Linked DNA regions of Elephas maximus indicus. The protein of the gene in region 3 purifies or fractionates together with the protein of the main gene of each other region. This does not show direct contact. Links are inferred from orthologs where the notes say so. Each region holds a gene or a part of one and is shown on either strand. Other genes may lie near its edges. The genes, in order: COPZ1, COPG2, COPA and COPG1.

What was found.
Region 1: the proteins of COPA (region 3) and COPZ1 fractionate together in Homo sapiens (co-fractionation; 6 studies listed by BioGRID and IntAct, with this or other methods). This does not show direct contact. The link is inferred for Elephas maximus indicus from reciprocal best matches to the Homo sapiens genes COPA and COPZ1.
Region 2: the proteins of COPA (region 3) and COPG2 fractionate together in Homo sapiens (co-fractionation; 4 studies listed by BioGRID and IntAct, with this or other methods). This does not show direct contact. The link is inferred for Elephas maximus indicus from reciprocal best matches to the Homo sapiens genes COPA and COPG2.
Region 4: the proteins of COPA (region 3) and COPG1 purify together in Homo sapiens (affinity purification with mass spectrometry; 6 studies listed by BioGRID and IntAct, counting the BioPlex papers as one, with this or other methods). This does not show direct contact. The link is inferred for Elephas maximus indicus from reciprocal best matches to the Homo sapiens genes COPA and COPG1.

What each region holds. Positions count from the first base shown.
Region 1 is NC_064822.1:109,811,478-109,818,728, reverse strand, and holds the start of COPZ1 (coatomer subunit zeta-1), read right to left. Parts: upstream 3,010-7,251; 5' UTR 2,954-3,009; coding exon 2,936-2,953; intron 1-2,935. UniProt on the Homo sapiens protein: The coatomer is a cytosolic protein complex that binds to dilysine motifs and reversibly associates with Golgi non-clathrin-coated vesicles, which further mediate biosynthetic protein transport from the ER, via the Golgi up to the trans Golgi network.
Region 2 is NC_064826.1:19,142,316-19,149,183, forward strand, and holds the start of COPG2 (coatomer subunit gamma-2), read left to right. Parts: upstream 1-3,867; 5' UTR 3,868-3,925; coding exon 3,926-4,001; intron 4,002-5,131; coding exon 5,132-5,184; intron 5,185-5,741; coding exon 5,742-5,822; intron 5,823-6,868. Other genes in the region: TSGA13 (testis-specific gene 13 protein), read left to right, coding at 372-499, 3,379-3,548. UniProt on the Homo sapiens protein: The coatomer is a cytosolic protein complex that binds to dilysine motifs and reversibly associates with Golgi non-clathrin-coated vesicles, which further mediate biosynthetic protein transport from the ER, via the Golgi up to the trans Golgi network.
Region 3 is NC_064821.1:199,026,551-199,034,182, reverse strand, and holds the start of COPA (coatomer subunit alpha), read left to right. Parts: upstream 1-4,624; 5' UTR 4,625-4,754; coding exon 4,755-4,794; intron 4,795-7,632. Other genes in the region: NCSTN (nicastrin), read right to left, coding at 2,741-2,845, 4,444-4,528. UniProt on the Homo sapiens protein: The coatomer is a cytosolic protein complex that binds to dilysine motifs and reversibly associates with Golgi non-clathrin-coated vesicles, which further mediate biosynthetic protein transport from the ER, via the Golgi up to the trans Golgi network.
Region 4 is NC_064838.1:41,579,151-41,587,064, reverse strand, and holds the start of COPG1 (coatomer subunit gamma-1), read right to left. Parts: upstream 3,002-7,914; 5' UTR 2,888-3,001; coding exon 2,851-2,887; intron 1,921-2,850; coding exon 1,868-1,920; intron 1,444-1,867; coding exon 1,363-1,443; intron 1,112-1,362; coding exon 1,040-1,111; intron 855-1,039; coding exon 775-854; intron 1-774. UniProt on the Homo sapiens protein: The coatomer is a cytosolic protein complex that binds to dilysine motifs and reversibly associates with Golgi non-clathrin-coated vesicles, which further mediate biosynthetic protein transport from the ER, via the Golgi up to the trans Golgi network.

The DNA.
Region 1 (7,251 bases), on a different chromosome or scaffold from region 3:
TCAGCTCAGTAAAGAGGTCACTCCTGAGGTTCACCTTTCAGCCAAAGATTGAACAGGCCCATGGAACAAAACAAGACTAAAGGGACACACCAGCCCTTGGGCAGGGCCTGGAAGGCAGGAGGAAACAGGAAAGCTGGTAATAGGGAACCCAGGGTTGAGAAGGGCGAGTGTTGACATGTCGTGGGTTGTTAACCAATGTCATAGAACAATGTGTGTACTGTCTGATGAGAAACTAGTTCATTCTGTAAGCCTTCATCTAAAGTACAAAAAAAGAAAAAAATTCCCATAATCAGAGCAAATTTTGGTCAATAGTTCTTCTTGACCATCCCTAGCTCACCCTTCCCTTCTCTGTGTGCCTTGTAGAAGTGAGGTGAGGATAGAAGAATATGCTCTCATAAGACTTCCCCAGAGGTTCAACCAAACCAGGAAATAAAATGTGAAGGGAGGAAACCTAAAGAAATTTTGTTAGCAATCTGTTCCAAGAAGTGGCTTGCTAAATATTATTCAGGTAAACTCTTTAGTTCAGTAGAGATCTAAGGGGAAATTCAGAGATTCCTCATTCTTCTCATAACGAAGATGGCCACCTAAGAATCAGGAGATGATGCTGAGTAGACAGAGGAGGCAATGAGATAAAAAGAAGCAGTGAAGAAAGGTGATTTTTTACCCGCTGCTATCAAGTTGATTCCGACTCATAGAGACCCTGCAGGAGAGAGAACTGCCCCACATGGTTTCCAAGTCTGTAAATCTTTACAGAAGCATTGCCACAGCTTTCTCCCGAGGAACGGCTGGTAGGTTTGACTTTTTAGTTAACAGCTGAGCGCTTAACCACTGCACCAACTGGGCTCTGATTCTTAATAAAATGGACCTAACTTGGTGGGCCAGTATATGAGGGTAGTGAGGTGAGAAAGAGATTTAGGAAATATCACCTGACTCTCACCCAGGGTTCCTCATCTGAAGCACAGAACACAAAAAATTACTGAAGTGACTATTTTTCTCATTTCTCCCAAGGATGGTACATAACTAATGCCATTCTCGATGCAGAGGAATAAGCTGATTCCATTTTACAATAGATGCCTGAGGGCATCATGGATTAATTCTCTCATAAGACTCCAGCTGAGAAAGGCTGGATGGATGCGGGGAAAGTATATATATTTTTAATTGGGGGACAAAAATAAATTAAAATGTAAGGAGCAAAAAAATGTTGGAAAGAGCTAACCCAGAGCAAGGGAAATGCATTTAATATCCGAAGAACCCTGGCAGCTGGTACAGTACAGGAGTTGGTACTCTGTCTCCGTCCAAAGGTTTATGTAACTGATGGCTGAAAGGACAATATTCCATAAAGAGGTGGAAAGCCCATGATGAGACAAACTCAGTAACACATCAGAGAGAAACTTGGTCTAGGAGGTTGAAGAAATAAAAATCTAATCCTAGTTCTGACACTGTGTTTCTTGAGCAAGCCCTTTTCCCTATACTTTGCTTTCCCTAAATCCCATTACATAGGTTCCTCATAATAAAGAATCATTACTTACTCTAACACACACGAGGTCGCTATGAGTCAGAATCAACTACAACATAGTTTCAAAACCAAAGTTCGGAGGTATCTAACCAAGTCAGCAGAGATACCATGAACGCAGCATCTTAGGCATTTAATTGGATATAGGAAAGAAGTGGGTTGAAACAGACTTCACTGCAGAAGCAGGAACAGGAAACTGAGGTAAGAGAAAATGTGACAAAGACTTTCTTTCACACAGAACTCCCTGGATTCAGCATTACAGAGAGACCCAGGTGCCTTGTTAAAAAGCCTCCCCAAGTATCATCTCCCTCACTCTTTTACCTCCAAGCAGGCTTCCTTCTAAACAGAAATAGGGGAGCCTAAAAATTCCCCAAAACTTCCAAAAAAACCAATTCCCTAGCATCTGTCCTAAATCTGTGAACTGGTTAAGAATACCGGGTAACTGCCTGAAAACAAGATATATTAAAAACTGCCTGCAATTTAAGTTTTCTATCTACACTGGGCCAACCTAGATGATGAGAACAAAATGATTTCTATACCAATTTGAAAGAGGGGTATAGAAACCTATTACTCAGTTTTAGCTGATGAGGATCTACAGGTGTATGTGTATTAGGTCAGAAGGAAAGAACAAGAAAAGGTGCTCTGGAAAGAGGCCTAGAATTCAACTCAATTAAGGAATTCATTCATTTAAACAAGCAAAACGGATCTTATGGACCAAGGAGCTAATGCAACCCCTTTAAAGCCACCCAAATTCTCATACTGCCAGAAGAGGGAGTCAGCATATCAGATCCTACAATAAAAGTTCCTAAAGTCTAAATACGGAGGGAAAAGGAAAAAAAGAATAAGGAGTCTAGAAAAACACTGCACAATCTATGCTAACTTTATCAAGAACTGTATTCCAGAGCTTTGATGGACACAATGATTCTCTCTCATGACAGGCATATATAAGAAGGATTAACGGGAAACCGATGTAAGGAGAAAAAAAAGTTTTTGAAGGAATGTGACAAAGGATGAAGAGTCAAACTCTGACAACCATCCGGAAGAGACAAAACACCTGAACTCTGGTCTTAAAATTTGGGGTGAGTTTGGAGATTTGAGAAAACTCAAATTAGGAGATGCTAAGAATTAGGGGGAACCTGAAGGGCCCCAATCCAGTACGCTTGCAATTCTATGTATCCTGAGGACTCCATGTGCTCCCCTCAACTTTCCACCAACCCTATGCCTTCTTTCCCCCATGGCTTCCTACTCTAATCCGAGGCTTTAGCTCCTGCAGTAGGCCACATACTCATTCCAGAGCCAGCAGAACCTTCAGTACCCGATAATTACCCAGAAGTCCCCCTTCTCCTCCCTCTCAGTCGGGCTGAACCCTGACTACCGGCCCCTCTGGACACCGCAGCTCTCCGCGGCCCCTCCGGCTCCTACCAAAATCAGCGCCTCCATCTTGCCCCGCAGCTGGTGCCGACGTGGAGCCGCAAAAGCAACGCCGCCGCTGATTGGCCCTACGTCCCCATTAGGCCCCGCCCAGGATAAGAGTCATTGGACTACAGAATGCCAGCCATTGCCCTATTGACCAATCATTGTACTATCTTGCTTAGCGGAAGCAAGGTGTCCAGTCAGAAGGCACAGACATTTGATTGTCAGTTTGAACACTCAATAAAATGCCAAGATGGCCCGACGGAATAGGGCGGGAGGGCCAGTTGGGCGGGGCTGTTTCCATGGGGAACAGAGGATGCGATTATTCATTTTCAATTGGTAGGGCAGAGATCACGTGATACTGTCCGACAGCTTTAGACATTTTAATCCTCACTCTCTTTAGGGGGCGCTATGCTCCCCCTTGTCCCTTAACATTGACAGCTTCTGACAGAATCCTACCCGAATCCCTGTGTTATCCGCTGTGGGAAACCCTGGTGGCGTAGTGGTTAGGACTTACCTCTAACCAAAAGGTCGGCAGTTCAAATCCACCAGACGCTCCTTGGAGAATCTATGGGGCCGTTCTCCTCTGTCCTATAGGGTCACTATGAGTAGGAACCCACTAGACTGCAACGGGTCTGTTGCTGTGACAACCACAGCTAGCTCCCGCCCCCCCCCACAAGCTTCCTCAGGTCACTTTAGTGACCTCACAGAGTCTGCACAACCATAGAGTGTGCAGACGAGATGCCCAGCGTGTTAACTAGATGAACCACGGAGACAGGAGTTGATCACCACAGTAACAATCTCCCCAAAATGTAGTCCCAGGCTTTGCCGGGCCGAGGGAAGTGGGAGAAGCTAGGGAGTTTCTAAAAGCAGATTTTCCTGTAGCCTGATATGAAATGGGATGTTAGAGCTTTGGAGACCAGAAAGGAGAGATTAGAAAGGACAAAAGGGGTAAAGGGACCAGGATAAGGGAGGACATGGGGAGCAGGGTCTGTGGTTTTCCAGTAGGGACAAGCCATTGCAAAATGAGAAAAGAGAAGTTTACTGACTACAGAGATTTCATAACGGGGAAGGGTTTTGATGAAGTTTGACTTTCCCCCACCCCTTGGTTCCTTGGTTCCCGACCGTCTTAGATCAGAGACACTTTTCATTATCTCATATTATTCCTAAAGGGATTTTTGTTTTTCGTCTCTGACAATTATGTCTTTAAGGAATCCCTCCAAGAAGACAGTCTAGACCCATCCAAGAGTTTTTCTAGTTGTTTTGGAGTACAGTCATAGGACCTAAGGAAAAAAAAAAAAAAAAAAAAACAGTACAAAAACAAACTACAGAGCTAATACATGCTATGAAGGAAGGTATTTAAATGACATTCTGGTGAAGTCCCAAGTGACAAGCCTCAATAATCTAGGGCCCCAAATATAAATTGGAAAAGTCAGCTAAGGTTGAGGGGATGGTGTGTGAGAAATTACTTCTTTTATACCTGATTGAGCTTAGTTTATCACTTTGTCCTCTTGGAATTGCTTAGATGCTGAACCCTGGAAACAAAGCCAGAAGGTCCATTATCTATGGACTTGAGAAAGCCTGAACTTAGAAGCTTATAGTTTAAGGAAGCAGAGATCCACCCCAAGGCTTCAGTTGATGAGGCTGGAAACTGGACCCTCTTTGTCACATGTAACCTCTTTAGGGGAGGACCTTTGAAAGACACAATCTGAGCCATCTCAAAGCAGGCAAGTTCCAATTTGACTGTTTTTCAGCCAAGTTTTGGGGAAGATCCAGATTAAGATACTTTACATAAAACAAGAGGCATGAAAGTTGACTATGAGTTCAATCAGGGGTGCTTATGCTTGGTTATTTGAAGACTAGAGAGAAAGCTGCTGGTGAGGAGCAGAGAGGAGATAATCAAACTTGGAGGTTTTGGAAAGTGTTCTGTCAATACGGTGAAAAATTAAACATGAATATATCTTCTCCTGAAAAAACAAAAACAACCCAGTATACGCATGTGTGTCTGTACACTCATGTATAAGACTGTATGTACATACATACATATGTAAGACTGCTTATTGCAGCATTGTCTACAATGGCAAAAAAATAACATTATTGTATATCAACAGAGGAATAATTGGATAACTTATTGTACATCCAGACTGTGAAATAATATGCAACTAATAAAAAGGAATGTTAGATTTATATGCATTAAACTGAAGAAATATCCATGGGATGCTAAATGAAAAAAGTAAGTTCCAGAGTAATTTATATGGTGTGATTCCATTTTTTTCATTAAAAAAAAAAATTAAGACTGTCTTAGTTATCTAGTGCTGCTATAACAGAAGTATCACAAGTAGATGGCTTTAACAGAAGTTTATTTCCTCAAAGTCTAGGAGGCTAGAAGTCCAAATTCAGGGCACCAGCTCCAGAAGTCTTTCTCTCTCTGTCCGTTCTAGGGGAAGGTTCTTGTCATCAATCTTTCCCTGGTCTAGGAGCTTCTCAGTGCAGGGACTCCAGATCTAAAGAACATGCTCCTCTCCTGGCGCTTCTTTGTTGGTGGTATGAGGTCCCCAACTCTCTGCTCACTTCTACCCCTTTTGGAGCCCTGATGGTGCAGTGGTTAAGAGCTGAGGCTGCTAACTAAAAGGTTGGCAGTTTGAATCTACCAGCCCCTCCTTTGAAACCTTATGGGGGTTTCCTATAGGGTCACTATGAGTCAGAATTGACTCAACTGGCAATGGGTTTTGGAAGATAAAAGGTGATGCAGGCCACACCCCAGGGAAACTTCCCTTACATTGGATCAGGGCTGTGACCAGAGTAAGGGTGTTGCATCCCACCCTAATCCTCTTTAATGTAACCTAATCTTGCTTCATTAACACCACAGAGGTTAGAATTTACAACATATAAGATAATCACGTCAGATCACAAAATGGTGGACAACCATACAGTACCAGGAATCATGGCTTCGCCAAGTTGGCACACATTTTGGGGGGACATAATTCAATTCATAACAGACTCTAATAATGAATTAACTATGTTTGCATGTTATTGTTGTTTTAAGTTGCTATCAAACTGGCTCCAACTCATGATGACCTTAGTATAACAGAACAAAATGTTACTCAGTCTTCCACCATCTTCATGATTGTTGGTATGTTTGAGTCCACTGTTGTGGCTATTGTGTCTTTCCATCTCATGAGGGTTTCCCTGGTTTTCACTGACTGTCTACTTTATCACACATGATGTCTTCTTCTAGTGGTTAGTCTTTGTTCATTACATGTCCAAAGTAAGTGAGCCAAAGTTTCTGCCATCCTTGCTTCTGAGGAACATTCTGGTTGTATTTCTTCTAAGACTGATTTGTTCACTTGCTATCCGTAGGTTTTCATTGGCTAATTTTTGGAAGTGGACCACCGTGTCTTTCTTCCTAGTTTTAGTCTGTGAGCTCTGCTAAAACTTGTCCGCCAGAGTGACCCTACTGGTGTTTGAAATACCAGCGGCATAGGTTCCTATATCTTAGCAACATGTAGACCACCACAGAACTACAAACCAACAGACGAGTATTGGATGTTTGTATGTTTCTGTAAATATACTCTTTCATTCCACAAATATTTATTGGATATCAGTCACACTAGGCACTCAGGATATAGCAGTGAACAAAACAGACAAGAATCCCTGCCCTCATGGAAATTACATTCTAGCTAGGCAGCAGGAGCAGAAATTAAACTGAAGAAATAAGTAAACTATAAAGGACGTTACCAAAAAAACCTGTTGCCATCAAGTCCATTCTGACTCGTGGTGACCCTATGGGACAAAGTGGAACTGCCCCACAGGGTTTCCAAGGAGCACCTGGTGGATTCAAACTGCCAACTTTTTAGTTAGCAGCCATACCACTTAACTGCTATGCCACCAGGGTTTCCATAAAGGATGTTAGGTGGTAATAAGTGTTATGGAGAAAATTAAAACTAAAAGGAGAAGGGGGGCAAACCATTGCACAATTTGGAGTGATACCATTCATAATTGAAGAGAAGCAAGTGACAGAAAAGAGGTTTAATAGATGATCAAGGAAGACCTTAATAAGAAGGAGATATTTGATAAAAGACCTAGAATGAGTAAGGGAATGAGCCATATTGTTATTTGGGGGGAAATGTATTCTAGGAAGAGAGAATATAAAGAAAGATGTGTAAGAGAAGTACTAATATAGGCTACCCCTAGAGGGTGAGATGGAAGGAATGGATTATTAAATAATTTTTCTTTATATGTGTTGGTATAGTGGGACTTTGTAACAACAAACGTGTGTATATAGTTTAGCACTAATAAAAAAAATCTTTTCACTACAATAAAAT
Region 2 (6,868 bases), on a different chromosome or scaffold from region 3:
CCCCAATCTCATTTATACTGTGATGAAAGAGAGACAGTAATGAAGGCAGAGCATGTTCAGAGCTATGGTTAACAACAATATGTCATGAGAACACAAAGATAACGAGATTTTATTTGAAACTAAATGATAGAGCAGCCTATATCTAGCTTGGAGAGGAGAGGGGAGATTCTGGAGTTCTCCAGAGGTTTTACAGTAGAAGGTTTTAGAAGCATCCCTTGCCACTGAACAATACTCCCACCCAGTCCCAATCAACACCCTTTAATCATTGTCCCTTCTTCTCTCAGAGTCTCTGAGAATGTAGTTTACTGTCAAATGACTGGTTTCTTTAACCCCCTGCCCTAGGGTCTACTAAGTGAGCTTTCTTTGTTAAGGTTTTCCACTGACAATGATTTCAAGAGTGAAGGGGAGTATTCAAAGGTCTATGCCTTGAGGAAACAGAAAAAAATGTACCCTCAGCTTGCCTTTTCTCCAATCGGTAAAAGAGATATGAGGAAAGACGGTAAGCTCCTTTCTTTCAAAGCAATGGTTTATTGGACTGAGATATCGGCTGGAGGTAGAACCTCTGGGGACTGGAGATATGGGCAAATCAGTATTTCTCATGGTGGTCCTAAAGAATATTTTTCCTTGTAGCATAGAAGCTAGGAACTGATCAAGGTGCTAGGTTTTGGTCCCTGCTTATAGCCTTACATGTCAAGAAAGCTCTAGAACAGTATTCCCAAATACCACCACCTACCACTTTAATAGTTTTTGCCATGTCAGTTTAGTATTTTTCTCTTAAAAGATTTTTTTCACTCTTGTCTTAATCAATACTATATCTTTGACATCATGGGTTTGATATACTAATTATATATTTTTCTGATACACATTAAATCAAACTCATAACAATTAAATTTTAAAATGTGTATTTAGGTAGCAGCTAAAACCATCCACGGTATGCATAACACACTTTGGGGAAAACTGGTCTAGAAGGGCCAAAGGATAAGCAAATCTCAGAAGTCCTCAAGTCTCTTTGGGGTTGGGGTAGGGCATTGGACAGAAGGGGCTTGGGATAAGGCTGCATCGAAGAGGGTGCAATGAGAATGCTCTTCATATTTGTGGGGTGCCTACTTAACGTTGAACACTTACCAAGCACCGATAATAGCACTTTAAATACGTGAGACAGATGAACCCGACCATGAAGTCCTTTTATAGTAAATAAATAAGAACTTGGGTTTTATCCAGTAGGCTATTGGGACCTATATTAGGTCACTGAACACACATTTGTATATTATAAATATAATTAATGAGTTCCCAGACTTCACCAGCTGATGGCTTCAAGATAAAGTCCATTCCTCCTACTAGGTTTCTCTCCTCAAGCGATTTTTGAGGCTTCCTAAGAGCTCAGCTGCTAACCAAAAGGTTGGGAATTCGACTCCACCAGCCACTCATTGGAAACCATATGAGGCGGTTCTAATCTGTCCTATAGGGTCACTATGAGTCAGAATTGACTTGACAGCCATGGTTTTGGTTTTTGGTTTTATTAAGGTCTATTTAGGAGGCCTGATAGTGCAGTGATTAAGTGTTTGGCTGCTAACCAGAAAGGTTGGCAGTTCAAGTCCACCAGCAACAGATTTTTTTTTTTTTTTAAGGTAAGTTTACTGTTTTACAGTTATCCTAGTGATTGATTACCTAACACCTTTGCCAACCATCTTCAGGGCAACAGTCCCAGAGGTCCCAGGTTACACCATACCATCCCTTAACTGGTTTCTTCAGGCCTCTCTGCTCCTAGTTACCAACCCACCCCACCTTACCCACTGCCTGTCTTAACTCCCATATATACAGCTAAAGCAAAGCTGTAGTGGTAAACAAAACTTCATGGGTGTGGAGGAAAGCTAAAGGACAGCAGAGAGAGTTATATTGCTTTAAAAGAGGCTACTTACTCTCAGCTTAGCCTCAAACCCAGCCTCAGTTCCTCTAAGCTTCCCAGTGGGCCTCTAGTACGTTACTTGTTCTTGGGAATCTCCTGGCCTATCTACCTGTTTCTGCCAAGGCTCCTAATACCCTTGGCCCAAGAAAAGGAAGAGGTTCTCCTTCCTTCCCCCAAACCTGTTTCGTTTCAGTCCCAGTAAAAATGACAATGAGACCATCTATTTCCTGCAAGGGAAATTCTTCCTGGGAAGTATGGTTTGAACTTTATAAGCCAGATAAGGCAAACGTAATAGTTGAGAATCCATTTAGTAAAGTTAGAGTTAAATCTTAAATGATACCATATGTAAGGATATCAACAGTGCAGCTTAAATTCATATTTAAAGGCAGAATTTCTCTAATTTTGCAAGGGCATGGTCCTTGTTCAGGATACACCCAATTTACATTTCTAAACAGAATGCTTAATATCTTGATCTGCAGCATCTATTAGAGTTATGACTTCATATTTTCCATCAAGACAAATGAGTGGATACTTGTTTTACTTATGTGAAGTTGAATCAGTGTCTCCACTCGTGGCAAAAGAGAAGGCTAGCAGTCTCCCTCCCCGCAGTAGTGTTCCATGTTTACCAGGCATCCAAAGAAATAAAGATCATAGAGAATGGTTTGAGGCAGGGCCAGGAAGGCGGCTGTCCAAGAAACAGCTGATGAAGACTTGAGCTAAGGAGTCAGCAGTAGAGATAAGGAACAGATTCAAGGGTCATCTACCAGGTATACCCAGAAACCACACCAGCTGTTGTTGAGTCAATTCTGACTCCACGTGTGTCCTAGTAGAACTGTGCTCCACAGGGTTTTCAATGGCTGATTTTTTGGAAGTAGATCGCCAGGTCTTTCTTCCAAGACACTTCTGCATAGACTGGAACCTGCAACCTTTGGGTTGGCAGTTGAGCGCTAAAGCGCTTGCACCACCCAGGGAGGTTTTACAAGGTATAATGCATCAAAAAAGTGGGGAGGGATTGAAGGAAGAAGATCCCACAATGGAAGCTTGAAAGAACAGAACAGAGATTGAAGGAGAATCTGGATAAAATGTTTTAACTGAAGCCAAAAGTAGAAAAAGTTTCTTACTTACACTGTCTGACAAAGAACCGACAACAAACGGGTTAGAAAAAGACTGAGAAACATGAATATACACGTGCGTGCAAGTTAGCCTAAAGAGTTATGTAAGAGTGTGGTTGAAGATGGAAAAACTCAGAAGAGGTGGATTAAATGAGGGGACTGTAAACCAGCGGTGTGTTTTAAACTGGTTTTTGAAGAAGCGACGAAAACGTTTGACAACGAAGGCTGGAAGGGTAGTCCGCGGTCCACAATCTACCCTCTTGGTTAAAGTAAAGACCAGCTTTCTGGTCGGTCACGCTTTGCATTAAGCGCCCTTGTAGAATCCACATTCACCTCAAGGTGCCCTGTGCTTTGTTGCAGCTTCCAAGAAGTCAGCGAGTGCAGTGCCGACTTCCCAGGCGATCTGGGAACCACTCACCCTGTCATCGCTCCTGGAAGAGAAGCCCACCAGAACTGTGCCGGGGGAGAGCGCGTTCCGCAACGGAAGAGCCCAGCAGTGGATCATAAATAACGCCACTCTCATTAAGTGAACACAAACCCTCCAGGCCCCCCTCCCGCCTCGGTCTCCAGACAGGGGTCTGCAGACGTCGCCATCTGCGGCGTGCCATCCAAATAAAATCACATTCCTGCTTGCTCCAGGCGTGGGCTGCCGGGTCGCTGGCCAAGTGGGCAGGAGAGCCCCTCGCTCCGACCTGTCACCGCCCAGGCCCCGCCCCGCCCATGGCCCCGCCCACGCCCGGCTGAGGGCGAAGAGAGGGCGTGGCTGCGGCCCTCCCCGGGCGAGAGCGACGGCCCGCGGCCGGGGGCGGGCCTTCTCCCGGAGTGACGGGCCGGCCGCCCAACCGGCGGGAGCGCTCGGGGCCTGCCTTCCTGCAGCCTCTTCCGCTTGCCGGCTGCTGCGTCTGGGATGGTTGCGGTGGGTCTGGGCGCTGGGAAGTGGGCCAAGATGTTTAAAAAATTCGACAAGAAGGACGAGGAGTCTGGTACGCGCTGGGCCGCTCACGCACACCCTTGGCTGTGGGGACCCCTTTTTGCGCCGCCCTCATGTGCTCCGGGCACGGCGGCCCCGGGGGCGTGGGCACCGGGGGCGTGGGCACCGGTGTGCGCGCGACCCCTCCCCTCGCTCCCGCCGGGGAGCGAGCTTCCCCTGGCCCCTCCCCCAGCGGCCCCGCCTGCGCCCCTTCCTGGCGGCCCCGCCCGCGCCCCGCCCCTGCGCCCCGCCCCCCAGCGGCCCCCCGCCCCCCAGCGGCCCCCCCGCCCCCCAGCGGCCCCCCTCTCCGGCTTAGCCCCTCCGAGCCCCTCCTGGTGGGGCCGTCAGGAGTGGAGGCGGGCTCACGACAGGTGGAAGGAGTGCGTGCGCATGTATGAGAGGCGGGGGTGCTGGGGGTGCTGGGCCCCTAGTGGGAGCACCCTCTTTTGGGCCTGGGGTCGACGGGAACAGCATGTGTGTCCGTGTCCAAAGTTGAGGTGCCTTCTACCTTACAGTCTTTCTTGGGACCTGCCTGCCCCATGGAACATAAGTCAGTGCTCTAGCATGCAGAAGTGACTTTCGTCTTGTTGCCCATCTTTAATCCAGTGGAAAGGGCGAAGAGGCCAAGCCACCTCCACATTCTCAGCTGCCCTCACAAAGCATGGGAGAGGGTGGGGTCCGTTCACCTCCATGGGCCCTTCCCGCTTTTAAGTTGCTATGGTTCTGTGCTGAATTCTTCGTTTCTGCCTCTCAGTACGTGTTATAAGCAAATAAAAAATAGTGCTCGCCTTTAGAGAAATTAGAGTGCCCCACCATCATCTCATTCATTTTAATTGCAGTGGAAATGGCAGATAGTCATAATATTCTTGTACAAAGAGGGCAAGCAAAGAAGACATTCTCATTTCAGGCAGGGTTCCAGCCAAAGAGAAGTCCGAGATCTTCCAGGATAGCAACGACAGAGATAGTGCCAGAATGAAAATACTTTCATTCCATTTACATGCATATTAGTAATGATTATCACTGTGATATCCAAGTGGTCACCTCACTTTAGTGAGATTTCCCAAGCATTCAGTGCCCTTCTGGTGGAAGTAAATACGCTTATGCAGAACAGCTATTACAGATGTCTTTTGTTTTATCATATAGGGAGTGGCTCCAACCCTTTTCAGCATCTGGAGAAGAGTGCTGTCTTACAGGAGGTATGGCTTGCAAGTACATCGTGCTCCTTTCTTTTCTATTTTGTTTTAGAATGGCGGGCAGAGAACCCCTGGGATGCTACAATTGGGGCATCCAAAATGAGACATGAATGTAACTGAGTTCAGAGAATGTAGACTTGAGAGGAAAGGAAGAGGGGTTACTTGCCATGGGAGAGTTTAGAGCTTTTAGAAATGTAAAGACACACAGACTCTGCTACATGCTGGGAATTTTAAATGTCAGAAGACGTGTTTGGTGTGAGGTTATTGAAGGAAGTTATAGATATTAAGCTCCCTGTGTTTATATGATGCAGTAAATATTGTGATTTGTGGTAAATATTGTGATTCTTATTTACCAGATAAAGTTCAGAAAGTTGAAGTATTAGATTTAATGGAATGGGTTGCAAAGTACAGAATGGAAGATCAAGGCTACGTCTAATAATTTCTTGTATTCTATGATACATTGAAGACTAATGTTTTTGGATATTGTGATTAAAAGTTGGTTTGCTGTCATCTGTGATAGAAAATGTAGAAAATATACTATATTTTTTTTTTTTTTATAGGCTCGTATATTCAATGAAACTCCCATCAATCCAAGAAGATGTTTGCATATTCTTACCAAGATTCTTTACTTACTGAACCAGGTAAATTATTTTTAGTTTTTCTCAGGTTTGTGTCCTGGAGTAGAAATACATAGCATGGAGTGAAGTACTTTCTGGAAAGTACTTATCTATTTCTCTAAAATATTTAACATAATAACATGTAAAACTTCTTGAGGACAGGAATTATAACATATAGTTATTTTGTGTTCATGAGATACTAAACCAGCTGACCACATGGTAGATTCTCAATAAATACCTATTGATTTGAGTTTAACAACAACAGCAACAGCAAAAAACCAAACCCGTTCCTGTCGAGTCAATTCTGACTCATAGCAACCCTATAGGACAGAGTAGAACTACCTCATGGGGTTTTTAAGGTTGTAATCTTTACAGAAGCAGACTATCACATCTTTCTCCCATGGAGTGGCTTGTGGATTCAACCTGCCAGCCTTTCAGCTAGCAGCTAAATGCTTAACCAGTATGCCACTTTGAGTTTAACAGGTACTAGTTAATGTTAGTATAAATGTTTACATTCGTTCAGAGATCTTTATATCTCTCCAAAAATACAATGCAAAATCTCAGGCAAATTCCAGGTAGATATTTTACCTTTCTTGGGGAAGGCGGGCAAACCCTGGAGGCACAGTGGTTAAGAGCTATGGCTGCTAACCAAGAGGTCGGCCATTCGAAGCCACCAGGCACTCCTTGGAAACCCTATGGGGCAGTTCTATTGTGTCCTACAGGGTCGCTGTGAGTCAGAATCGACACTATGGCAATGGGTTTTGGGAAGGTGGACGGGTAGGATAGATCATCAAAACAAAACAAAACAAACCCATTGACATCGATGACAATGGGTTTGATTTATTTACTTATTTTTTGTATGTATATACACCCCCCCCCCCCGTTTCCATTTGGTGCTGAGTAAGAAGACTGGTTTCCAATTTGAATTCCATGTGAATATTTTATCATTACTCTGTTTCTTGACTGAGAACCTTATCCATAGATTTAATAGTTTTTGTTGTTTGCAAATGGAGGTTGAGCAGTAAGCACACACTTTTTAAATAAAATGTATCTGTTCACTAACATTTTAG
Region 3 (7,632 bases):
CTTGTGATCCATGCAGAGACATAACTAGGTGGATTATTCAAAAATTATTTTAGAGCAGTTCTCAACCCTGGCTGTGGATGAGAATCACTTTGGAGTTTTAAAAAAACACAGATGCCCGGGCCTTACCTCGGGTCTACTACACACAAATCTCCAAAGGTTGGGCCCAGGTAAACACAATTTAAAACATACCACATATGGTTCTTCATTAAATATAGCCGGCCATGAGAACTATGGTTCTACACCAAGGCACTGAAATACTTGCAACGGGAATGAGACAAAACCCGTAAGCACTTGTGGACTGCCAGATGAGCAAAATTTTTCTCCCATTGGATCTGGTAAAATCTAGATACAGAGGCAGGGTCGCCAACATTCAACTATATCTTACATATAGTAAATACTTCATAAATTCACGTCGGTGGTGATAATGATGAAACACGGAAGAATATCAGAGTCTGGAATAACTTTAGTAAGGACCTAGATACCAATGGCAGTTCTAAGTACCCCAAAAGCAGGGCTTTGAACAGTTCGTTCTGGTTTGAACCACTGCTGAGAATTTGCATTTCGGCCCCAGATATACTGAATAAGAATCTGCAGTTTAACAAGATCCCCAGGTGATTGTCACGTATAACAAATTTTGAGAACCACTGGTCCCTAACCAGAAGCGTTAACATTGCCTGGGAACTTGTTAGAAATGCAAATTCTCAGCAGGGGTTCGAGCTGTTTGGTTTAAAGCCCAGTCCAAAAGACAACAGCCCTTGCCACAGCATTTGAAACGTGGGACAAGGAAAAGATAGTCTAGCAAATAAAAAATATATAACTTCAGCTCTAGAAAGAACTAGAACAAGCTATGACGCTGCGCTGAAAAAAAACCTGTATTCTATTCTGGGTTCCAATCAGTGACTACATAATCTTAACTAACTTGCTTACTTTCTCTGGGGAGAAGCTTTTCAACTCTCTAGTCATCTCATACTGTGAGGAGAGATATAAAAAAAAAAGAATCTACATAGAGAACTTTGAACATCTTAAAGAAAAGAGCCTAAAAGAATGGCTATTATAACCAAAAAAATCAAACTATTTTTCTTTAGCTTTATCATGCTTAAAACTCTAATTAAAGAAGCTGTAGCCTATTCAGAATGGACAGATATGATGAGGTAAGACTTACAGATAAGTAGGCTGAAACAGGAAATAAGGCTTTAATGAGGGAATGGCCAGAGTCCAGCCCTTCCCTTTCATTCCTCTGTACTGGAACTTGGCTTTCTCTCTAAAGGCTATTGCTTTCTTCCCACAGAGTTGCTCCAAGAACACGCTAGGAAATGCATGTTTGCATTTTAGGCTTCCACCAACTATAAAGTTGTATTTTCGAAAACAAATACATATAAGCAAACACTTCTGTGCATTACTGTTCCCAGAGGGGATTTCTTAGAGCCCAGATCCAGGAGGATGGACTCCTGGCCTCTGATACTTACAGTGAGGTTCTAGCAAGACCAGCAGTCTGATCTCAGTCTATACTGGACCTGGCTCTTTTCCACCTGCAAATGCAGTTAAGGAACTAAGTCCAACAGAAGTTCTGTTTGGGGTGGTTTGGAACCAGTCAATTCAGTCCCAGTACTTTCTGTACAGGGACATGGGACAAATAGCGTATAGTGTATACACAGACACTTCCCAGGGTTTGTATAAACACCTATAAAAGGTACTCTGATTTTCAGCTTTGTGCAGGACTAGTCTAGCCATTTTTATAGGTGTAAATTCAATTTTTTTGATGATGAAGAAGCAAGATAGGGCCCTGAGTTTCCTGCCTATCTGTGAAACTACACTCACTGGCCGTGAAAGAACAAAATCTAAAGACAGCAGGTTAAGCAGCAGAGGAACTGGGGTTTGGCCTTCACATCACACCTTTTTTTCCCTCTGTGATGTCTATAATTTTTAGAACCATGTTGCCACGGTTTTGGAACACAGTCACAAAGCATAAAGACAAGTCTGAACGTTTTACTAATTCTTCCTGACAACTATTTGGCATTCTTAATGCCTTCTTCTCAGTTCACTGTTTTTAAGAAGCCCATTTTGGTTCCAAAAAGATCATTCAGAGGGCAGAGGATGACTAGGCTCCACAGGATATGAGACTTCTACTTAGAAGGCAGTATAGTAGGATGATTAAGTCTTGGCTTAGAACTCAGACCCAAAAACAAACTCACCGCTGTTGAGTTGATTCCAACTACAGGACAGAGTAGAACTGCCCATAGGGTTTCCAAGGCTGTAAATTTTTACAGAAGCAGGCTGCCACATCTTGCTCCTGCGCAGCGGCTGGTGAGTTTGAGCTGCTGACCTTTCAGTTAGCAGTCAAGCGTTTTAACCACTGCATCACCAGGACTCCTTGACCTTGGACCACTACAGTGTAAATCCTGGCTTCATCACTTATTATTAGCATGACCTTAGGAAAGTTACTCAACTTCTCTAAGCCTTGCTTTCATGATCTTTATTTAAAATAATAAGACCTACCTCATGGAGTTGTTATGAGGGTCAAATAAGACATTCATGTAAAAAGCTGGGTATGTAGCACTTACTAAGTGTTAGCTCTCATTAATTACCTTGCCTGGTTTGCAAGATGGTTCTCTATCACTTCCTGCCCACACAGTTTAATTTGAGTGCCGAGTCTCCCAAGCAGGATATGGATCTTAATTTATATCTAGGGCACAGACTAAAATATCATTGGCCACAAACACAAATCCCAACCCCAACTCACACTGGCAGCCAATCTGATGAGTGGCATTGAGCAGACGGACACAGGGAGCTGTTTTATTTAAGGGGATGTAGATCTTCCTCTCCACTGAATTTCCCCTGCACAAACCTGAGAAAACAGAAAGTGTTAGAAGAAATTGTGAGACGTTGATATTAGCCTCTGCTATGTCATGAGTTTACTGCATTAAGTCACTCAATATCACATTTTCTAAAATGGGAAGAATATCCATTCCTCTCACTTTTTGGGCACATTATTAAAGCAGATACATGCTCTACAAAGCACTCAACTAGTGCTTCAGAGGGTTATTACAATTTCCACACAGAGAAGCTGATTCTGAAGCTAAAAGAGAGAAAACTTGATTTGTCAAAGAAAAGGCACATTTGGCCTCAGCTGTGTCAGCTTCTGGCTGCGTGGTTGATCATATGTCTACTTTTCTGTCCTGTATGTATATTAATAATTAGTTAATAATGGGGTACAGATTACAAAAACAAAAACTTTCTGAGATACTTTTCCAAGAGCCTGAATAGACCTTGTTGTTGGTGTTCGGCGCTTTCGAGTTGGCTGACTCATGGTGACCTTATGTGCAGTGGAACAAAAGAACAAAACCATGCCTGGTCCTGAGCCATCTCCGTGATCTTTGACATGTTTGAGCACACTGTTGAGGCTGTTGTGTCGATCCATCTCATTGAGGGTTCCCCTTGCTCTCACTGACTCTCTACCAAACATGTTGCCCTTTACTGGCAATTGGTCTTTCCTGATGACATGTCGAAAACAAGATGAAGTCTTGCTATCTACGAATCTAAGGAGCATTTTGGCTGCATTTCTTCCAAGGCTGATTTGTTCGTTCCTCTGGCAGGCCATGGTATATTCAACAGGAACAGAGTTGGGAGACACTTTATGCCACACACACACCTGTCAGAGTTAATCAACTCTTCACCAACTACACCAAAAGCGCCAATTGGTGGTTTGTGTGTGCCCAGAGTGGGGGGCAGCTAGAATTTCTCATTTGGGATCTTTAAACACAATACGAATTTGGAGGAAGGCACAGTCATGGTTACATACAGGCATATTTGCATTTTAAGGCTCCAACAAGTAGAAAATCATGTATCAAAAAATAAATACAAGTAAGCAAACACTTTTGCACACCACAAATTCATAAAGTTCCTTGGATCATTACTTCAGGGTCTAAACAGTTAAGAATACCCATATCAGAAGTCTCACTTTACAGATGAAAGAAACTGCGGCAAGGCAGAGGGCCAGGGGTTTACAGTGAAACCAACAGAGGAAGAAACGAGGAATCTACCTTCCTAAGCCCTGAACCCACAAAACGAGCCTGGTTTCATCTTAAAAAGTCAAAACGTTCTGGGAAGGAAGCTGAACACCGACACCTGTCTCTTTTGATTGTGGATAGGGTGGCTGGGGCCGTGCGAAAAAATCAGCATTCGGACAAACTGGGAGATAGCCGGGCAGGAAGTCCAGGAAGAGGCCTGGAAGTAGGAAGAGAGCGGCACAATGTGCCGAAGGGAGAAGGGCCTTCAGGTCCAGGAAAAGGGGGGAACTTCTGTCGCGGGAACGAAAGAGAAAAAGGATTTAGAGGGCGGGGGGACAGAGGGGCAGTGGACCAGAAAGGGAGACGGCGGCGCTAGCTGCTGGGCCGATCCGGAGGGTTCTTACAGAGCGAAGCTCACGGGCATGGGAGGCCTCACCTGCCAATAGGACGCAGAAAGACAGAAGGTGAAGAAGACCCTGACTTCCCCGTACAACCTCACAGCCGCCCGCAGCCGTAGCCATCTTGCCTCTCAGTTGAGCGGAAGCCTCGGTTCCCCTTCAGTCTGGTAGCGGCCTCTCTAGGCCACCACTGGCGTCATCTCTGTGGCCCAGAGCTCCAGAGACCGGAAGTTCGTGTCTTGAGGCGCTTCCGGTGGCTACTGCGGAGGGACGCTGACGTGGAGGCAACCAAAGGGCAGCAGGGAGTGGCGGGCCTCGGAGTAGGACCTCGGAACCGGAGGTCGGGAGGATGCTAACCAAATTCGAGACCAAGAGCGCGCGGGTCAAAGGTATTGGAGAAGAAAAGGGGGAGCACGGAGGCTGGATGTCACGGGCGGCGCTGTCACGGGGGAAGAAAGGGAGTAGACATGCTGGCTGAGTTTGGCCCATCGACGGACCCTGAGGAGGACGGGAGGGAGGGAAGTTAGGCCTGGAGGGCCGTTCTCCAGTCTCCTCTTTGGTGTGTCCTCGGGCCCTGATTTACCTGCAGAGTGGTTTCCAGCCCCGCAATCCCTTAGGTCAGTTCCCTGTTCTTTCCCCTCTCATGCTCCTGGGGGCTGTGGCCGCGACTTTCTTCTGCCGGTAAGGTCTTGTAACCTCTTGTCTTTTTGCTGATCGTGTTGTGGGGAGTGGTCTTGGGGATTGAGTCTCCATCTGTCACAGGCACCCGAGTCAGTAGCTTTGTTGGAGACGAGCACTGGCTACCTCATTTAAGGAAGCCTTGGCTGCGTCATATCACCACCCAGTGCTTCCACTAGGGTCTGTTTCTTACCGGAAAACAGGACTTTGAGGTCTGTAGCTCTCAGTAAAATCTGAGCTTTGCAGGATTGTCAGGTAAAATACCGGACGTTCAGTTAAATTTGAATTGAGATTAACAACGAATAATTTTTTAGTATCGTTCTTTGTTTATCTGGACTTCAAATTTGACTGGGCATTTCCTGTATTTTTATTTGCTAAATATGGCAACCCTAGAGCTTGAGTGTGTAGAAGAGAGGGGTGGAGTTGGGGGCAAATGGCTGAAATCGCAGCAGTAGTCTTTTAGAGTGTTTTAATGGCAAAGGCAAGGAAGTCAGGTCTGCTGAGAACTGGAAAAGAAATTAAAGCAGCAGTATTTGATAAGATGCAGCATAGCAAAGTGGTTTGGAACTTGGTATTTGGAATGAGATGAACTTGCTTCAGTATCCCGAAATAGTCACTAACAAGCTGTATGTGACCTTGGGCGACGTACTTAACATCTCTAAATTTGTTTCCTCATCTGTAAAATGTGAATAGTTACTATTCTCTTATAGAGAGAGAATGCGCCCCAGAGGTGCAGTGGTTAAAGCCCTCAGCTGCTAACTGAAAAGTCAGTGGTTCAAACTCACCAGCCACTCGTTCTGTGGGAGAAAGATGTGGCATGTAAAGATTTACAGCCTTGGAAACCCTATAGGGCAGTTCTGCTCTGTCCTGTAGGATCACTGTGAGTTGGAATCGAATCCCGGGGAACGGGTTGATGGCATGAGTCAAAACTGGCTCCGTGGCACCAGATAACGAGGTATATCATAAAGGTAAAAAGTGAGCAACCCAATGGAAAAATAGAATGAAAAATTTAGAATTAGGAATGTAATTGTTTAATAAACAAATGAAAATATGCCACACCTCACTAATTAAAGAAATGCAAAAAAACAAAAACATTTTTTTGTCTTAGGTTAACAAAACAGCAAATAACGGATAACATCTTATGTTGTCCAAAGTCCGGTGAAACAGGTACCTTTATAAACTTGGTGAGAGTCTATACTGATCCACCCTTTTTGCATTTAAACAGTGTTTCTTGCATGTGGTTGCCGTGAGTTGGTTCAGATTCAGTGCAGCTAACAACAACCATCATCAGAATTTTGAATGCACATACCCTATTCTTGAGCAATCAATTCCATTTCCAGGTCTTTAGCCTAAAACAGTGATAGTGCAGATAGGCTACGTTATATGTGAAAGTGTCTTTGTTGTTATTAGTTGTCATGTAGTCCATTCAGACTCATGGCGAGTATCTTCATTACAAAAACCAAACCTGTTGCAGTGGGGTTGATCCCAACTTAGAGTGACTCTCTAGGACAAAGTAGAACTGCTCCATAGGGTTTCCAAGGCTGTAATCTTTACGGAAGCAGACTACCACATCTTTCTCCTACAGAGTGGCCGGTGGGTTTGAAGTGCTGACCTTTTGCTTAACAGCCGAGCACTTAACCACTGAGGCCACAGGCTCCTCGTATCTTCATTAGGTCCTGTTTTATTGTTGTCGTTTTTTATTAGGTCCTGTTTTTTGATAGCCAAAAAGTGGAGGAAAAAACTTAAATGCCCATCAGTAAAATAATTTAAAAATGTGATGCATTTGTACAGTACACTTAAAGAGTGAGATTATGTTTATGTGTACTTAAACAGAATGAGATCTATGATATATAGCCACATGAGAAAAGAATTTTGCAGAAAATTATAATGTGATCCCCATTTTCATACAATGAATAAGATCTACGTTTGTATGTAACTACATTAAAAATCTGAAAAGGAATACTCCAAACTGTTAATAGTAGTTACCTTTGGGGACTTCCACTTCTAGTCATGGTAGAGTGACAGGGGCCAGATTTATCTTCCAACCTTAAATATCTACACAACCGGACAAAATGTATGAAACAAAGCTTTTCAAACACTGGACAACACGCAGTGCAGGAGAGTGATCCTTGAGAGAAGGGAGATAAAGGAGGTGAGTCCTATGATTGTTTTAGCTTGCTGCCTGAAGAGAATTTCCAGGCCACAGTAGCAGGAAGGAGGAAGAGCCCTGTGGTCTCGCTGAGTTGAACACACAAGAGTTTAGTGTTCAGGGAAGCCAAGGTGGCTAGAATTTGCTGGACAAAGTACCAGTGGAGAGAGTTGCACAGAGATGACTGGAGATCTGCATGGGGTCCCCTTGGGTCTTTGACTGAGGACTCCTTGCATGTGCATGTGAGGAAACTATTCAGGGCCTGGGCAAGAACCACTGGAAAGTAAAAAGCAGAACAGTCTGTGGAGCTCACACAGGGCTTGGAATAGTTTGTTTCTATGAGCCAGAGTAGAAAGGTCCTGATATACAGGGCACCATGCAGAGGCGTCAGAGGGGTGTT
Region 4 (7,914 bases), on a different chromosome or scaffold from region 3:
CCCCTCACCTCCACTTCATCCTGCTAGTTCTTACTCATCCCTTAGGACTCTGCTTGGACAGTTCTTCTGAGAAGGCTTTCCTGATTCAAACTCAAGTTGGGGGCCCCCTGGTCACACTTCCCATGATTAAGCGAGGACACCCGACCTCAATGCCTGAGTGCCTGGGGGTTTCTCTGCCAGTTCTGGAGGTGCAGAGACTGCTATATCCCCAGAGATACACTCAGGGATTGGCAGGCATGCAATAAATATTTTCTACATGAACATATAAATGAATGTATACCCCACCCCCTGCCCCCCCACCCCAAAAAAAAGCTGGGGCAAGAAGAAGAGGACTACGTCCCAGTTTTTACAGGCAAGGTACACTTTAGTCACATCTGTCCCCTGAATCACTCAGCCTAATGCAGAATTCAGTACTTAGTAAGCAAGCCTGTTTGTATACCACTTGCATTCTCTACATCTATTTTCCTAGTGTTCTCTTTTAGCATCCGTTAATGTCTTTGTGAAAGTTCCAGGCTGGTTCAGTTGACCATGAGGAACTAAGGGAAGGAAGGGGTTGTACCCAAGTTAAGGCTGGAGAATTAAAAGGGCACAGTACTCCCTGAGGGTTGGCAGCAGTACCTGAAGGATGAAGGAGACAGAAGAGGAAAGGGCACCAGGCAGCTATGCCAAACAAAAGTCTAATACGCATCAAAAGCATGGTACACACAAGAGAAAAAATGGCCTCTGTGTCAATGAATCCATCAGGGAAGCCATCCACTGCCCCCAAAGACTTGCCTGCTGGTGACAATGATGACATCCTCTGCTATGCAAGACATTTCCTTGATAGTCAGGTAGCACATCCGACGGAGTGTGGGCTGCAAAAGAGATGGAAAAAGCCGTATATCACTTCTGGCTTAGTATGAGGGCCAGAGTTAGGAAAAGAAAACTCCAGTCTGCACAAAGGCATCCCATGCTGACTGGTGGGGCCAGTTTTCTGGGGGTCTCCTACGACTATGTCACAAACTGGCCCCTTAAGGAAAGCTGGGGTCGGAGTACTTACATCATTGGACTGAAAGAGCTTGGTCATGGCAAAGAAGGCCTCGGTTGCTTCGGTGGTCCCCAGATGCTCCCCCTGTGGTAATCAAGAAAGAAGCCTCAGCCTGGGACAGAGGGGACAGATGGCTCTTCCTGTTGGATCAGCCCAGGCCAGATCCTCGGACCCTGCAAAAATTCCATTAAAGGCTAACACACTGGGTGCTCAGGCGACCCAGAACTGAGCCAGTGGCTGCAACCACACGAAGGCTGTCAAATCACTTAAAGTGATGATAACTTGTGTACTCTCCTCAACACCAGTTTCCCCACCCTCAAACCTCACCCTATTACCTGGTTTATGAGATAGAGAATCTTGGTGAGGATGTGGGCACATTTCCGAGGGTTGATGGGAGTTTCGTTAAATACACGGGCCTAAGAAAAAGCAACAAAGGCTATTACCTTCTAGCCCTGTTTGTTTCCTTTCCACTGACTACCTTCAAGCACATTCAAGGTTCTGAGAAGTCCCAGGGTAAATAAATACACTTGCCTAAACAGGCTTATTTCCATAAGAAGTTTTATTTTTCTTAACTCATCTATTAACAACCTTTTTTTAAATATTAGTGATGTGTGGACCTATAACCAACAAATACTTAGGAAATGCTTATTAAATGGAAGGTGAAATGACTAACAACAAAAATGTAGGCATCATCTCTCCAAGAAGAAAAGTTTCTCTGTCTTTCCAGGCACAGGTTTTCTCTCCTACACTTCTCTAATCAGGACTGAATGTGTTGCTTTTTCCATCATATCCACCATGAACATTTATGATGGAAGACAGAGTGGAACAAATGACACTTGCCTCCTGGAGTACTGCACTCTTCTCAAGGTGTTGGAATGGGTTGGAGCCTCCACCTACAGTTAAAGAGAATAGAAAACACTGAGTACCATCCTGAATTTCAAAGCTATCAAACACAGAGAAGGGAAAGATGTCCCTATTGTCTACCCAACAAAGTTCAAACTCCTCAGGAACGGCAATCAAGGCTCTACAGTCTGCCTATAGATCCTACCACTCTCCTGCAAGGGGCCTCCAACCTAACCCAAACCACTTACAGTCACCCAGCAGCCCTGGTACGCTCCTCCTTCTGTTTCTCATGGTGGCATGGCTTGTATTCATTCATACAACCCTTACTTTACTGAGTCCCTACTATGGACCAGGGACCACGATTTCCTCCTGACTAAGTTTCCTTCATAACAGAGGTCACATTTGTAATAATCACGTTTGTGACTCTCTGGTTGATGTCTGTCTCCTCCACTACGCTTGTGACCATCTTGTTCATTCCATTGTAACATTTCCAGCTCAAGAACCGAGTGTCTGCTTTGTTCTACTGCTGTATCAGGACACAGCACAAAGCCTGACATAAAGTACTCAATACGTGTCTGCTGAATGAATGAATGAATGAGTCAGGGTTCTCAGCCACAAGACAGAGGCTCCACAGATTACACTCCAGCTTGGACAGAACCAGCGCGGTCCCGGCGAATCCCGAAAGGCCAGGCGAAGAAAGAGGAGCATTCGGCCCAGCCTTTCCTCTGGCAGATGGGGAAACTGAGGCCCAGGGAGGAGTGTGATTCGCCCAAGGTCACCTGGCGGGTCACAGTCCGAGCTTACGAGTGGCGGGCCGCGGAGGATGCTCTGGCTTTCCGAGGCCTGCCACTGACCAGCTGCGGATCTTCGCACAAGCCCCGGCCCCTCCCCGAGCCTCGGCCTCCCAGTCAGCGCAGAGTCCCGAAAGCTTGCGCGGGGGTTCGGCCTCCCCCAGGCCCAGGCCTGCTGGGTCCCCTCACCCGACTCCTCGTCCTTCTTGTCGAATTTCTTCAGCATGGCAGGGCCGGCGAGGGCGCGATGCAGCACTGGGCTCGGCAGGTGCGGTTCGGAGTAGCTGCCCGGCGGAGGTTCCACTTCGGCCACTTCCGGGCTCCGACCAGGCCACGTCGCTCGAGGCTCTGCGCAGGCGCATTCCGCACTCTGCGCATGCGCACGCCTGAGCCGCCGCTGTCCCTTTTTTTTGCGTTAACCCTGTACTTGCCGAAGAGGTCAGAGGGCCGCAGACCTGGGGGGCTGAAGCCTCTCACGCTCGGGACGGCTGGCGACCTAGCTCGGCGCCTTACGCCCTCCTGCTGTGTACACTGGGAGTTGTAGCAGCCCCTGCCTCATTGCGTGTGAAGTGAGTTTAAAACAGGCTTTCGGCTGTGAGGTCCGTAGCACGCTCGCCTGCCGTCCCACCCAATTAAAGTAACCTGTTATTAAGGAGCCCTGGTGGAGCAGTGGTTAAACTCTGGGCTGTTAACCGAAAGCTTGGGGTTTTGAACCCGCGAGCCGCTGTGGGAGAAAGATGGGACAGTCCGGTTCCGCAAAGATTTCAGCCTTGAAAAGTCAGCGGGGCAATTCTACTGTATAGACTCGCAGTGAGTCGGAATCGACTCAACGGCAATGAGTTTTATGGATTAATATTATAACTGTCACCTTTTCGGTAAGCTTCGCTAACCACTCCTTACTTTCCGTCTCCCTTTCCTGCTTGATTTTCTCCTTGACTCGAATCACCATCTAGCACACAATGTTTTTATTGTTTTCCTTGTCTTATTCACTGCGGAGGATGATGTTGGCAATAGTATGTGAACAATAAATTCTTGTAGAACGAGTTAATGCATTTAATTGCTGTTATAATTCATATGTGCCCACTCTCATCTTATCTGCTCCTGGTGCAAATTGTTTTTTATTTTATTAACTTACAAGGAACTAAAAGGTCAGTGTGGAATTTCAATGTTGCTCTTTTATTTAATACTTACTAAATGCGCCGCCTGGCGCTGGGGGCGGGAGAGGAAGGGAAAAAGACATCACTAGGGTTTATCTTTGGGGGGGGTTTATCTTCCTGATAGGGGACCTACACCGGACACTGTGTGGCTAAGGTAAGGACGGTGCGTCCCAACATGCCAATTGCATTCGCTGCGGCAAAACCGAGTCTGGATGGTTAAGCGCTGGGACGCAGGTCATCACCTGGCCTGGGGAGAGGGAAGCCCGCAGTCTGGCAGGGAGGTGAAGGAGCCCTGCTGGTGAGTCGGGGGTTGGAAGGAGCGGCAGGGTGCAGGGGCAGAGACCTGCAAGTGAAGGTGGAGGTGACAGCACGGCTGGGGTAGGGGTGTCCGGGAAGGGGCCAGTCTTTTAGCTTAGGCAGTTCAGAGGTTAAGCCTGTGGGAAAGAGGGAGCTGGGGAGAGGACGAGCCAGTCGTGAGCCAGAGTGAAATTGTCAAGACCCAGAAAGACATTAAAAACCTTTAACCAGTAGTAGCTCCAATCATTATCCTGAGGAAGCCATCCAAAAGAAGAAAACAAAGTTTCCCACTGCAGCAATCTGTAGCAAGATAATTAGAAACACCCTAAATGCCCACCAATAAGGGGATGGTAAAGAACATTGGGTAAATCTGCTGCAAAGGACCTCTTCAAAGTGTTGAAGAGCAAAGATGTCACCCTGGAGACTAAGGTGCACTGGACCCAAGCCATAGTATTTTCAATCACATCATATGCATGTGAAAGCTGGGCAATGAATAAGGAAGACCAAAGAAGAGTTGAACGCCTTTGAATTGTGGTGTTAGCGAAGAATATTGAATATACCATGGACTGCCAAAGGAAAGAACAAATCTGTCTTGGAAGAAGTGCGGCCAGAATGCTCCTTAGAAGCAAGGATGGCGAGACTGTGTCTTACATACTTTGGACATGTTGTCAGGAGGGATCAGTCCCTGGAGAAGGACATCATGCTTGGCAGAGTACAGGTTCAGTGGAAAAGAGGAAGACCCTCAACGAGGTGGATTGACACAGTGGCTGCAGCAATGAGCTCAAGCATAACAATGATTGTAAGGATGGCGCAGGACCAGGCAGTGTTTCGTTCTGTTGTGCATAGGGTCACTATGAGTTGAAACCGACTTGATGGCACCTAACAACAACAACAACAAAGAACATTGTGGTACATCCTCTCAAAGGGATGTTTCTTGCAACTTGGGAGACCACATGCAAACTTCTCATAATAATCAAGGTATCAAAAAAGGATAGAGTGTAAAAGTGTTCATAATTAAGGTGAAATAAAAATCCTTCATGGTTAGAAACCAGAAAGAACCCTAGAGAATTGAATTGTTAAGATGGTGAAATACAGATGAATTGTGTTGGGACAAAATAGGCTTTTATGTTATGATATTAATTCTATAAAACTTTATACAAAGGACAATTTTTACAATACTCTTTTGATAATGAGAATTGTGGGTTGTGGCTCCAGCTCTATGTGTGAGCTTATATTTGATATAATTATTATTTTTAAATAAAATATATATATGTTGTTCAAGGTAATTGCTAAGTCCTTTGCGGAAACATAGAGTATTAGAATTGAAAGTAGAAGTAATACTGGGGAAATCTGAGTAAGATTGGTGAGTTGTATCAATGTCAGTATCCTGGTTATGATATTATTTGTTTTTAGTTATCTAGTGCTGCAATAACAGAAACACTGCAAGTGGATGGCTTTAACAAAGAGAAATTTATTCTCTTACAGTTTAGGAGGCTAGAAGTCTGAATTCAGGGTGCCAGCCTAAGGGGAAGTCTTTCTTTCTCTGTTGGTCCTGGGGGAAGGTCCTTGTCATCAATCTTCCCCTAGTCAAGGAGATTCTCAGCGCAGGGATCCTGGGTCCAAAGAATGTGCACTGCTTCTGGTGCTGCTGTCTTAGTGGTATGAGGTCCCCTGTCTCTCTGCTTACTTCTCCCTTTTATATCTCAAAAGAGATTGATTTAAGAAACAACCTCTTCCTGTAAATTGAGTACTGCCTTATTAACATAACTGCCTCTAATCCTGCTTCATTAACGTCATAGAGATAGGATTTACAACATGTAGGAAAATCACATCAGATGACAAAATGGTGGACAATCATGCAATATTGGGAATCATGGCCTACCCAAGTTGACACATTTTTGGGGGACACAGTTCAATCCATGACATTATTCTATAGTTTTGAGTTTTTTTTTTTAAATACAATTCATATATCATAAAATTCAACCCTCTAAAGTGTACAACTCAGTGGCTTTTAGTATAGTAAAAAAAAAAAAAAAGTGCCACCATCATCTCCATCTAATTCCAAAACATTTTTATTACCCCAAAAAGAAATGCCACGTTGGCTATAGTTGTACAACATGATTAATATAATTCATATCACTGAATTGTACATGTGAAAAATATTGAATTGGCAAATGTGTCATATATACGTTTACAGCAATTAAAAAAAAAGGATTTAGCAAAGTGGAATTGCTGGGTCGTACGGTAGTTCAGAGTATAAAGTCGACTAACAAAAATCAGTTGGGGTTCTATGCATCAACAATGAGAAATCTGAAGGGGAAGTCAGGAAAATGATTCCATTTACCACAGCATCCAAGAGAATAACATACCTAGGAACCAGGGATGTGAAAAATTTATACAATGAGAACTATAAAACGCTGCTGAAAGAGATTAAAGAAGACTTAAATTAATGGAAAGATGTTCCATGTTCATGGATGGGAACATTAGTTAAGATGTCAGTACTACCCAACGCAGTCTATGGATTCGACTTGATCACAATAAAAATTCCAACAGCTTTCTCTATGGAAATGGAAAAACAAATTCTCAACTTTATATAAAATGTCAAGAAGCCCCAAAAAGCTAAAGCAATGTTGAAAGAGAAGAACAAAGTAGGAGAACTCACACTTCTCAATTTTAAAACATATTATACAGCGACATTAATCAAAACAGCCTGGTACTAGTATAAAAATAGGCACACAGACCAATGGAATAGAATTGAAAGTCTAGAAACAAACCCACACGTCTATGCTCAACTGATTTTGACAACAGTTTTAAGTTCATTCAGTGGGGAAAGAAGAATCTCTTCCATAAATGGTGTTTGGAAAATTGGATTAGCACATGCAGTAAAATGAAACAGGATCTATGCCTCACACCATATACAAAATATACAAAAACAAATTCAAAATGGGTTAAGGACCTAAATGTGCAAACCAGAACTGCAAAATTCTTAGAAGAAAATGCAGGGGCAATATAATAAAATAACAAAGCACAGACAGCAAAAGACAAAATAAAGGGGACCACTAAAAATTAAAAACTTCTTTTCATCAAAAGACTTTACCAAAAAAGTGAAAAGACCAGCTACTGACTGGGAGAATATCTTCAGAAACTATATATCCAATAAGAATCTAATAGCCAAAAAATATATAAAGCTTCGACAATTTAACAACCAAAAGACAGCCCAATCATAGAATGGGCAAAGGACTTGAATAGACATTTCACCAAAAAGGAAATTCAAATGGCCACCAAGCGCATGAGTAGATGATCTATGTCATTAAAAAAAAAAAAAATGTCATTAGCCATCAGAAAATAATAAATGTTGGCGAGGATGTGGGGAAATTCGAACGCTTATGCGTTGCTGCTGGGAATGCAAAATGGTACGGCTGTTGTGGAAAACACTATGGCAGTTCCTCAAAAAACTAAAAATAGAGCTACCATATGACCCAGGAATTCCACTCCTTGGTATATATCCAAAAGACTTGAAAGCAGAGTCTCAAACAGATACTGTACACCAATGTTAGTTGCAGCACTATTTACAATAGCCAAAATGTGGAAACAACCTAAATGCCCATCAATGGATAAATGTGGTACATACAATGGAAGAAAATGGGATACATACAAACAAAGACATACTACTCAGCCAGTAAGAGAAACAAAGTCTTGATACATATTATGATATGAATAGAGCTTGAAGATATTATACTGAGTGAAATAAGTTAGTCAGAAAAGGACAAATATTTTATGACCTCACTTACATAAAAAG